Ovis aries: one gene and its partners. The protein of the gene in region 3 purifies or fractionates together with the protein of the main gene of each other region. This does not show direct contact. Links are inferred from orthologs where the notes say so. Each region holds a gene or a part of one and is shown on either strand. Other genes may lie near its edges.

Region 1 (3,646 bases), on a different chromosome or scaffold from region 3:
CATGCATGACCACCCAGAATCTCCCGGGGTCGTGCTTGACCACGCAGAGCCCCCTGGGCCTGTCAGAGTGCCCTGGGCAGGGTCACAAGACCTGGAATTTGGGAGAGTCGCTGAGGGGCTCCTGACCGCTGGAGCAGAACGGAGGGGCGAGCAGTCTTTGGAGCCATGTCATCCTGACCGTGGTGGACGGCTGGTCTGCGGTAAGACCTCTGTCCTGTTCGGTGCTGGACAAGCACTGCTGCGTCCCGCTACTGTGGTTCAGCTTACCCAGCTCCACACAGACTTCTCTCATTTCCACATTCTTTCCCGGCTTTGCTGCTGGGACTGGCTTGGGCATCAGTATCCTGGAACCTCGTAGGCACGGCCCGGTCCTGCCTGCCTGTGGCCAGGAGGAGCTTATCTTCACAGTGACTTTTGCAGGGAGCGCGTTGGCTTGTTTTCTGTGGGTCTAACCCTCCTTGTTTGTTGTTGTTCAATTATTAAGTCATGTCTGACTCTCTGAGACCCCATGGTTGAGCACGCCAGGCTCCTCTGTCCTTCACCATCTCCCAGAGTTTGCTCAGGTTCATGTCCGCTGAGTCGGTGATGCCATCCAACCATCTCTGCTGCACCCTTCTCCTCCTGCCTTCAATCTTTCCCAGCATCAGGGTCTTTTCCAATGAGTACATTCTTCGCATCAGGTGGCCAAAGTACCGGAGCTTCAGCTTTAGCATCAGTCCTTCCAATGAACGTTCAGGACGGATTTCCTTTAGGATGGACTGGTTTGATCTCCTTCCTGTCCAAGGGGCTCTCAAGCATCAATTCTTTGGTGCTCAGCCTTCTTTATGGTCCAATTCTCACATCCGTACACGAATAGAAAAGCCATAGGTTTGACTATAGGGACTTTTTCGGCAAAGTGATGTCTTTGCTTTTCAATACGCTGTCTTGGTTTGTCATAGCTTTTCTGACCCTTAGGAGAAGCTATTTTCCTGCTCAGGACACTTCATTAAAACTCTCTTCCTACCCTGAAAGCAGAAAGAGTGACTCCAGTTTGCTTATGGGCAGACATTAAACAGATCCAGTACCAGGAGTGATTCCCCCGGTGCCTCAGTGGTAAAGAATCTGCCTGCAATGCAGGAGCGACAGGAGATCTGGGTTCAGACCCTGGGTCAGGAAGATCCCTGGAGAAGGAAACGGAGACCCACTCCAGTGTTCTTGAGTGGCAAGTCCCACGGACAGGGGAGCCTGGCGGGCTATATACAGTCCATGGGGTCACAAAGAGTCAGACACGACTGGAGTGACTCGTACACAGCACAGACAGGCCCTGGTGCACGGTCCCTCTCGGGAGACATGCTCAGTAGCAGCGATGACAAGATCTATGCTGTCCCTACCAAAGCCCTCCTCTGGGGTGGACCCCGTCCTTGGGGAATAATTTCTCACTGCACTTCTGTCCCCTGTGCTCCCCGGGAGAAGCTGGCTCACAGTGGACTCGCCTGGCAGCCTCAGAATCAGGAAGCCACGCGGCTTCCGAGCACCTCTCAGAAGCTTCCTGGCCATGAGCTAGCTGTCGGTGGCTGCTGAAAATCTCCAGAAGGTGACGACTCTGTTCACCAAACCCTCCGCTTGTGGCCTGGGGGACTCGGAGCTGCCTTTGGCCAAACGCCAGAGCAGATCCAGCCCCGTGTCCCAGGGAGAGTGGCCTGAGCCTCTGGTCCTTCTGCCCCAGGGCTGCGTGCACAGCCAACCCCCGGGACGGCCAGGTTGCTCACGGTCACAGCAGAGTGATGAGGGCACCTGGGGCTGACGCGGCTCCCCGGGGACGTGCGCTTTGCCCCTCAGCAGCAGCACAGCTGCCCGGAGGCAGAAGGGCGGCAGACATGGAAACAGAAGATGGATCGGTAGACGCGCTAAGTCAGATAAGCGGGCGGATGATAGACAGCTGATACGTGACAGATGGACAAGGCAGACCCACGGAGAGCGATGGCCGGGCGCACAGGTGGGAGGCAGAGGGCGCTGCAGGTTGGACTGTGGCCTCCAACGTGGAAGAGTTTTGTAACCCCCAGTACTTCAGAATGTGATCTTACTGAAGGCAGGGTCTTCACAGAGGAAAATCAAGTCAGGGTGGGCCCTAGTTCACTGCGAATGATGTCCCCATAAACAGGGAAGCCTGGGCGAAGAGACACCCGTGAAGACGCAGGGAGAAGACGGCCCCCGAGACCCCAGGAGCGAGGCTGGGAGCAGGCCCGGCCCCCTCTCCCCAGCCGCAGAAGGAACCAACCAGCACCCTTGAGTTCAGACCTTGGAGCTTCGACACAACAAACGTCTGTCATTTAAGCCACTTGGCTTGCGGCGCTCTGTATGGCAGCCCCAGCAAACCAGCGCAGATGACAGACAGTCGATCACAGAACTGCAGACAGGAGGCTGTGTTACCGTTTCTACCGTGTTAGCACTTTGACAAAACACCACCGCCCAGGAACTGCAGGCTGGCTTCGCCTGGGAGCAAGGACACACGCTCGCAAACCCTCGGTCATTAAAAGGATGTGTCCAAGTGCCTAGACACCCAGCAAAGCAGCACAGAATACACACAGCTGTGGCTGACCGGCTATGCGATCACCCAAGCCGGGCCCCGGCCGCGCCCCGCCCCCCCGTCCCTGGCCCACGCCCCTGCCCCCCGCCCCCGGCCCACGCCAGCCCACCGCGCACCCTGGCCCACACTCTGCCAGGCACGTGGGGCGTCCCCGCCGTGCCCCGCCATGCCCCGCCGTGCCCCCAGCCACGCCCCTGCCCCATATCCCGCCCCGGCCCCGCCCCCTCCCTGGCCCACGCCCAGCTGCGCCCTGGCCACGCCCAGCCGCGCCCTGGCCACGCCCCTGCCCCATATCCCGCCCCGCCCCGCCCCCCCCGTCCCTGGCCCACGCCCAGCCGCGCCCCGGCCACGCCCCTGCCCCATATCCGGCCCCGCCCCCCGTCCCTGGCCCACGCCCGGCCCCGCCCCGGCCCCGCCCAGCCGCGCCCTGGCCACGCCCCTGCCCCATATCCCGCCCCGGCCCCGCCCCCAGTCCCTGGCCCACGCCCCCGCCCCCCGCCCCCGGCCCACGCCAGGCCACCGCGCACCCTGGCCCGCACTCCGCCGTTACCTCTCAGGATGGGGCAGATCTTCCAGACGCCCGCCGCCCCCTCTCTGTTGAACTGCCCGAGGGCCAGCTCCATGAAGAACAGCGGCACGCCGGCGACGACCATGAAGAAGAGGTAGGGCACCAGGAAGGCACCTGGGGACGCGACAGCGCGCTCAGCCTGGACCGAGGACGCGCCAGCCCGGTGCCACCCCAGCAGGTGCGCCGCCGTCCACGCGCGTCCCGGGCACGACCGCTGTCAGCCTTCTTCGAAGCTCCCTGCAGGCTGGGCCTCCTGCATCTGTGCCTGGCTCCCGCTGTCACCGCACCCTGACACATCCCTCTGGGGACCGCCGCCCCCAGGCACGCGCAGCAACCGAGAGCAGAGCGGGCCAGCTGGGCCCGGGGCAGCTCTGCTCCTCACTGCTCTCTGCTCTCCACCTGCCCAGCCCTGGGTCCCCTCTCCTCAGTGGGGATGTCTGTCCTCGTGAGCCGTGGACCCTTGGGGTCCAACGCAGCCTGGCCCCCAGGACACCAGCCTGCCTCCGTCAGGG
Region 2 (3,646 bases), on a different chromosome or scaffold from region 3:
AGCACTGAGACTAGAAATGTTTAACTAGACTCTGAAGGGCTGCCCAGGCACCGAAAAGAATTAAATGCAAAGCAAACATCATTACCACCTCCCCCCCACAACCCCGACACACCAACCGGGATCGATTCACTCAGTACAGGGAAATAATTAACTCCTTCCTTCCAGGCATAGACTTTTGTGAGCCAGGAAGTTTTGTGTGTCAACTGCTTTTATAGCTGTTGACCTCCAAATAGAAAGAATTCAGTCCCCTTGGTAAAACAGAAAGCAACAGCGGAAAAGAGCTATTTCCTCTAACTCAGGGACCAACCAACCACAGGGAAGGTGGCCAGAAAGCGAAGGTACCCCAAGGAGAGACCATATGTTCAGGGCAGAGAACACAGCAGCCCTGGTGGGGAACACCTCCCAAACATCCCCTCAGGAGGGGCATCCAGTAATCTTGGCAGGTCATCAAACCTCTAACTCAGTCTCCTCCTCTGTAAGAAAAGCAGCCACCCGTTATTCTAGGGAGAAGAGTAAATGTTTGTAAGTGTTGAGAAGAAGGGTATTTAGTAACAAACACACGGCAAGAGTTTAATAGTCTCCGTGCTGTTGAAGCACTTCCTCGATGTCTCAGTGGTAAAGAATCTGCCTGTCCATACAGGAGACTTGAGTTCAATCCCTGGGTTGGGAAGATCCCTTGAAGTAGGAAATGGCAACCCACTCCAGTATTCTTGCCTTGGAAATCCCATGGTCAGAGGAGCCTGGTGGGCTACAGTCCATGGGTTGCAAAGAGTCAGAAACAACTTAGCGACAAAACAACAGAACAACAACAACATACTTTCTAAATTTTCGTCTGCAGCCAAAAAAGAAGACGTATACTAGGTTTGACCCCTGGGAATAGACTAACTGGAGGAAGTCACAGGATGACAGCTTTGTAGAAAGCACAGCCACCGCTCCCACAGTCAGCCTGTTAACCATGAGCTGATGTGATAAGTATTCTGTCTCCTGACCTCAGGGACAACTCTGCATCTTAACCCTCAACCCCAGATGGGGATCCAGGCAGAGCCGAGCAAAGGACAGTCCCCCTCACCTAAAAGCCACAGCTGGAAGGCAGCAGAGCTGGCATTAAACTCCCACCCACCTGAGCCCCTCAAGGCAACCCCAGTGAGGTGCTGGGGACCTGAAGACACAGGAGACCAGGGGGCCCCTGACTCACCCACTTCCAGGATCTCCTGGCACTTCTCACACTGGTCCTTCATCCGCAGGCATCCCGTGGAGTTGTGGCGGATCTCCTTACACACAGTGCGGTCGTTGTTTTCTGGGAACACACGGGGACAAGTCACACAGAGCAACATGGGCTGCCCCCATCTCTCTGGGCCCTTCCACACCACTGTCAGGCCCTTTGAGATGATTCTGCGGGCAGAGCAGGTTAGCATCTGGCTGTCTGCCTGAAGACCGCTGGTCTTCCAGGCTCGGACCAGCAGCGAGACTCCCTGCAGTGGGACCAGGAGGTGGCTCCCGGGCCCCCCTGAGCTGGGCATGGCCACCCTCTCATCTCCTTCACCGGCTGACACCTCTCCCACCTCCACACTCCCTTAGCTGTGTGTACTTCTCTTTGGTATCATAACCCGTTTTGCTCTGCATTCTGTCTTGTCTTGTTTCTCTCCCCCTGGCCAGGCAGCAAGCTCCTTGAAGGCAGGAGTAAGATTTACCTTGGAACCTCCTTATAACACAGGGCCTGGGTTGGGAAGATCCCCTGGAGAAGGAAATGGCAACCCACTCCAGTATTCTTGCCTGGAGAATCCCATGGATGGAGAAGCCTGGTGGGCTACAGTCCATAGGGTCACAAAGAGTCGGACACGACTGAGCGACTTCACTTCACTTCACCACCACCCCACCCCTCTCAACCTTATGGATATGCAGGAAATGCTTGTTCAGGTCAATTTGTTGTTTAGCTGCTAAGCTGTGTCAGATTCTTTTGCGACCCCATGGGCTGTAGCCTGCCAGGGTCCTCAGTCCATGGGCTTCTCCAAGCAAGAATACTGGAGCAGGTTGACACTTCTTTTTCCAAGGAATCTTCCCAACTCAGGGGTTGAGCCCACGTCTCCTGCATTGGCAGGTGAGTTCTTCAACACTGAGCCACCAGGGAAACCTGTTTAAGTCAGCACCCTCCCGCACTTCCAATCCATTACAAGCCAGAACCCAGTGCTGGCCCAGCCGTAGCATTTAGGCGATGGGGTTGGCCAACCAGAGTCTATTGGTTCAATGAAAGAAATCACATCTAAAAGTTTCGGCTTTTCGTGTCCATGTTAGAGTTCATTCATTCAAAAGATACTCGCTATGTGCCCATTCTCTACCAGACCCTAAGGTTATAGCCACAAACAGCTTTCTTAACTGTACAGTGAGCTGATTATATAATTCATTGCCAATATATGCATGGCATCCATATAAAGCACCTGAGTTCCCAAGACAAAGGGGTCTAGCCCTCAAGGGCAGTGGTCCACAACCTTTTTGGTTCAAGGGGTCAGTTTTGTGGAAGACAATTTTCCCATGGACCAGGGAGGGGGTGGGTGGGGGATGGTTTCAGGATGATTCAGGAGCATTACATTTATCGTGCATTTTATGCCTATTACTATTACACCAGCTCCACCTCAGATCAGCAGGCATTAAATCCCAGAGGCTGGGGATCCCTACCCTAGAGGAAATAGTGTCATGCCCACCAGTTGTTGGAAGGAGCCTGGAAAATTCAAAAGAATACCAGAGTTACAAGTCCTGTAGGGCTAGATTTGACCATCCCGGGGGATTTCCCAAACCAGGGATCAAACCTACATCTCCTGCATTGCAGGCCGATTTTTTACAGCTGAGCCAACAGGGATGTCTGTGAACCTTTGGGCATGTTCCTACACTCCCTGTCAAACAGGGATGGTAGCCCCCTCCCCAGGTTGCTCTTTGGGGGATTCAGACGATACAGGCCAAGTCCTGGGCACAGATCTGAGCATCTAAGGCTCCCTCCCTCCACACTTCCTTAGCTCCTTAGCTATTCGTACGTCTCGTCAGCATCACAGCCTGTGTGACTAGGTTAAGCATCTCAAAGAACTGAGTTTTCATCCCCCTCCTTCTCACCTGTAAATTCCGTCACGGGGAAGTGGTAGGGAGTCCTCTGCAGGTGGGCGTCCATGGCCTGCTGGGCCTGGCGGATCATGTCGTAGAAGGGCTGAAACACATCGTGGAAGTTGAGGGGTTCCAACAAGGGGAAAGGCATCACGTTCCGGGCAAAGCGGGACTTGGGATTGAAGAAGAGTGACCCCCTTGGGAACGAGCTGAAGGGGGAGTAGTATTGAGTGTCCTGGGGCCTCCGGGGGAAGAACCGGTCCTGGAAGAGCTCGTCCATGATGCTGGACGCCCGGGTGAAGCTGTCCTCCATGACATCCATCACATGGCTCTGCTCCCGATCATTCTCCATCAGGGAATCGATGCGGTCACCGTTGATCCAGAAGTAGAAGGGGGAGCTCTGGTTTAGGAACTCCTCGAGCTGTGGCAGGAGATGGGGGATAGTCAGGGATGCTTCCCCTTTTGTCAAGATGGGCCAGGCCCACCCCAGCTGCATCTGGGACATCTCAGAGTCACAGCCGAGGGTGGAAGGCCCAGCTGGGCATGGCTCCCCATC
Region 3 (4,403 bases):
CTTTAGAGCGGACCCAGGGACCGAGCCGCGCCTGCAGCATCCTTGGCGCTCTTCCCCGCTCCCCTCACCCCCCAACCCTTCCCTTCCGACCTTCTGCCTTCTTCTCTCGAATCCTCTCGTGCGGGGGACGAGGAGTGGCAATTCGACGGCAGGTTTGTGGGTTTGCGTCCCACGCTCCCCGCCTCCCAGCGCAGGCTTGTGCTGACAGCCGCCTCCTCTGGGAACCATCCCTCTTCTGGTGCCGCCTCCACCCTTCCTGTGCGCTCTTTATCCTCTCTCTTCCCACTTAAATAACATTTGGGAATTGTTTTTTAAATTTTTTAAGTGGGGGTGGGGGAGAAATTGGAGTTCGTGGAGCCGAGGAAATCTGGTAAGTGCTTGTGGAACTAACTGGGCAGCTTTGGAAGTCGTGGAGAACACCTGGTGGGAGAAGAGTCGTTGCGGGCGCCCCGGGGCGCGCGGGGGTGGGGTGGGCGTGCTGCCGCGAGGACCAGCTGTAGTCGAGCCTCTCTCAGAGGTGAGTGCTTATCCCTAGGGTGAGCGTGAGGAAAGGCAACTGACCTGTTTGCCTCCTGCTTCGACTGCTTCCCTCTTCTCGTCCTCAGAGGCCGAGAGGTCTGGATTCTCAGGGATAAGCTTCTCCTTTGGGAAACGCGAGGATGCTCCAGGGAGTATGAGTATTCAACTTTTGTTTGTCGCTTTCCTTAACCGCCCCCCGCCTCTAGTCCGCCCTCTCTGTTCTCTCTGTGAAGTAAACAAGCTATGTTTGGCAAATCGTTAAGTGGGAGCGCTGAGAGGGCGAGTCAACAGGTGATAAGGGGTTAACAGGTGCGGCGCAGGGTAGGGGGCGGGTTCCAGGCGCTGAGAACGCCCCCACGGGTGGCTGGCGCGCCTCCTGAGGCTTCCGTGGTTGTGAACTCGCGCCCTCCTGCACGCTCTGGGTTGATAGCCCAGGGTCGGGTGCATGGTTGGGTGAATTAGAGCGAGGGCGGTGGGCTCGCAGTTGGCCTGAGGTTCAGCCACACCCAGAGTGAGTGGTTCCTTCCCTCCCCTATTCGTGATTGATCTGTTAGCTGCCTTTTGGAATGTAAGCGTGTCCCTGACCCCCTGCCTTCAGGTCCCTTTCCTTTTCCTGTGATGTCTTCTAAACGCACTTCTAACTTATACTGTCACCATTTGGACCCTGGGAAGTTAAAAGAGGAGTCTATCTTTCCGTGCAATTCCACTTCGGAAACGCGTAAGAACAGCTCATATGATTCATCCTAATCCATGTTTAGGCGGCTAGACTTTATCCAGCCAAGATGGATGGGAGATGCTAAATTTTTAATGCAAAAGCTAAGAAAAGCCTCCTTTGTCCAGTGGTTGAAATGGAGGTACACTTAAGAGAATCTCACTCTTTTGAGGATTCTACTGATCTTTCAATAGTTTTTACTTTGGGTGGTTCTAATTTTGTTTTTTACGCAGAAGTTCTTAAAGTGTATTTTGTCTTCTCCAGTGTGGTGTAAAGGAATTCGTTAGCCATGGATGTTTTCATGAAAGGACTTTCAAAGGCCAAGGAAGGAGTCGTGGCTGCTGCTGAAAAAACCAAGCAGGGTGTGGCAGAAGCAGCAGGAAAGACAAAAGAGGGTGTTCTCTATGTAGGTAGGTAAGCCCTAAATGTCACTTTGATATTTATTTGGGATTGATGGGTTAGGATGATTGATGCTTTAAATGCTGGTATTTCTCACCACTCCTCAAAGTGATGGGCTGAATCAGAGGTGTGTGTAAGTAGGTGAATGTGTGTGTTTGAGCTAATATACAAAGTGGGGCTATTTTGTTTTTCCAGACTATTTAATTTTGCAGTAATATTTAGGACTTTCTTTTTTTAAATGAATGTTTCTATGCATAAGTAACTATAGCTCTGAGGACACTTTTAAAAACTCAGTCTCAGAAAATATTCAATAGTATCTTAAAATCAAACTCCTCCATGAGCTTTTGATTTATCTTCATGAATAATATATGCTAACTTCAGTGTATTCTAATTTAAAAGTAAGACGTTGATATAATCTTGAGATATGTAAAGAGAGACCTACTGTGACTCTAAAAAGAAAAGGACAGACAAGTCTTTGGAGTTACTTCTTGTGACCACTTGGTAAGTTGGGGACTAAGCTCAAGAAAGTGCTTGAAGGCTGCTAATATCTCTGAGACATTTATATAGTTCATTTATCAAATGATACAATAAATTAGATGCTTACTGTTTTTCCTTGTTTATAAATTCCCACATCAGAGTATTCTTGCAGTGAAGTGAAAGTTGCTCCATCCTGTCTAATACTTTGTGATCCCATGGACTGTCCATGGAGATTCTCCAGGTTAGAATACTGGAGTGGATAACATTTTCCTTCTCCAGGGGATCTTCCCAACCTAGGGATTGAACCCAGATCTCCCCAGGGATTGAACCCAGGTCTCCCACATTTCAACTGGATTCTTTACCCGCTGAGCCACAAGGGAAGCCCAAAAATGCTTGAGTGGGTAGCCTATCCCTTTTCCAGAGGCTCTTCCTGACCCAGGAATCAAACCAGGGTCTCCTGCGTTGCAGGCAGATTCTTTACCAACTGAGCTATCAGGGAAGCCCTACTCTTTTTTTTTAATCTTGAACTGTGTTAGGTTGGGTGTTGTTTTACAAGTCACCTGGAATTCTTTGGGTGAAGAAATAGGCATACACATAGACACACACTCATCTATAGGGATACAAACGGGCACATGAGCATACACTCACACACTGCCCATTCTCTTTTCTCCTCTGAGCTTTTCCTCCTTTTCCTCACATTCTCTGGTAGCAGGTGTAGCACCAGTAGCCAAAGGATGAGTAATAAAGTGGAGGATGAGCATAATGGATTGTGTAGAATACTCTGTCTATGTCTGTGGGGTGAAGGAAAGCTATATCGTCTCTTCAATAGAGATGGACTGGAGAAAAGTTATACTTGGAATGATTTTTATGAATATTTCTCATATTTTTTCTCACTGTTCATAGACTTTTTATTTTGGTTCAATCTTACCACAAACCTCTAGTTAAATTACTCTTTATCTTAAAATGTATTTTCAGAAAATCATTGAATTGAAAGATCTTACAAGAGGGAAAAGTCAATGAGTTAAACTCAGTTTTTTTCTTGTGAAATGTGGATTGTATCTTTTTAGGTGGAATTTGGAATACTGAATCAGTGACATTTAGATAATCAGTATTTTTATATTTGTCCTCAGTGTTCCAAGTTGTACAAGTGCATGCTTTGTAACCATTCCTTGATTTCAGTTACTTTATAGCTTAGTTACTTTTAAGATATTTTTAGTTGGATAATATTGATTTATTAGTTTTGAATGAGTCCAAGAACCACTGACTATTAAATTAACATGGTGCTGTTTTCCAGGTAATAAGCAGGATTATCATCTGGAAAACATTGTACTTGTTTTCATTTTCACCCATGAGTTTGGGCAAATAAAATAACAATTTTTTAGAGATTAATTCTGTTGTTTTCTCTGAGATTATTATATGAAATTTCAATTTGTTTATGTATACATATTTTAAAAAATAATCTTCAGTGTTCATTATGGTATTTAACAGAGTGCATTCTATATACTATTTATCAGTTGATATTTTAAAGTCAATTAAAAGTTGAACACAAATACATAATTCAGGATGAAGTATGACCTTGTGAAGTTATAGTACTACCAGGTTTTGGCAAGCTTTTTCCCTAAAGGGGTAGTGAATAATTTTAGGGTATGATGTCTGTTTCAGCTGATCAGCTTTGCTCTCCTGAAGTGAAAGCAGCCATAAACAATAATTAGGGTGACTATGTTCCTATAAAACTTTACTTACCAAAACAGCTGGAGAGTTTATTTGGCTCATAAGCTATAGTTTACTGACTCCTGATAAAGTAGGAAAAAAATGTAGATTTGATGTCAAACTTGAATTCCAGTCCAGACTACAGCACTTTTTAACCTCTAGGATAATGGAAAGGTACTTAACATATCTAAGCATCACTTTACTCATTTGTAAAAATACAGTTTGAATACATGCAAGTACCCTGTAGAGTTCTTGTGAGAACATCATAATAAAGCCGAACCTATAAGTAAAAAGGCATACTTTTAAAAAATTAAAGACTTAATTTTTATGTTTTAAATTAACAGAAAAATTGATATATAGAGGTTTCCCATGTACCCCAAACCCCACACATGCATAACCTCTCAAATTACCAACATCCTTTACCAGATGGTACATTCATTACAACTGCTGAACCTACATTGACACATCATGATCATCCGAACTCCATAGCTTCCATTAAGGATCACTCTTGCTGCAATACATTCTGTGAGTTTGGATGAATGTGGAATGGCAATCCACTCCAGTATTCTTGCCTGGAGAATCCCGT

Evidence for each region.
Region 1: the proteins of SNCA (region 3) and SLC6A3 purify together in Homo sapiens (affinity purification with western blotting; 6 studies listed by BioGRID and IntAct, with this or other methods). This does not show direct contact. The link is inferred for Ovis aries from reciprocal best matches to the Homo sapiens genes SNCA and SLC6A3.
Region 2: the proteins of SNCA (region 3) and clusterin purify together in Homo sapiens (affinity purification with western blotting; 3 studies listed by BioGRID and IntAct, with this or other methods). This does not show direct contact. The link is inferred for Ovis aries from reciprocal best matches to the Homo sapiens genes SNCA and CLU.

What each region holds. Positions count from the first base shown.
Region 1 is NC_056069.1:71,107,571-71,111,216, reverse strand, and holds part of SLC6A3 (sodium-dependent dopamine transporter), read right to left. Parts: intron 3,249-3,646; coding exon 3,117-3,248; intron 1-3,116. UniProt on the Homo sapiens protein: Mediates sodium- and chloride-dependent transport of dopamine. Also mediates sodium- and chloride-dependent transport of norepinephrine (also known as noradrenaline). Regulator of light-dependent retinal hyaloid vessel regression, downstream of OPN5 signaling.
Region 2 is NC_056055.1:102,020,571-102,024,216, forward strand, and holds part of clusterin, read right to left. Parts: intron 3,512-3,646; coding exon 3,103-3,511; intron 1,298-3,102; coding exon 1,196-1,297; intron 1-1,195.
Region 3 is NC_056059.1:35,535,268-35,539,670, forward strand, and holds the start of SNCA (alpha-synuclein), read left to right. Parts: upstream 1-1,520; coding exon 1,521-1,641; intron 1,642-4,403. UniProt on the Homo sapiens protein: Neuronal protein that plays several roles in synaptic activity such as regulation of synaptic vesicle trafficking and subsequent neurotransmitter release.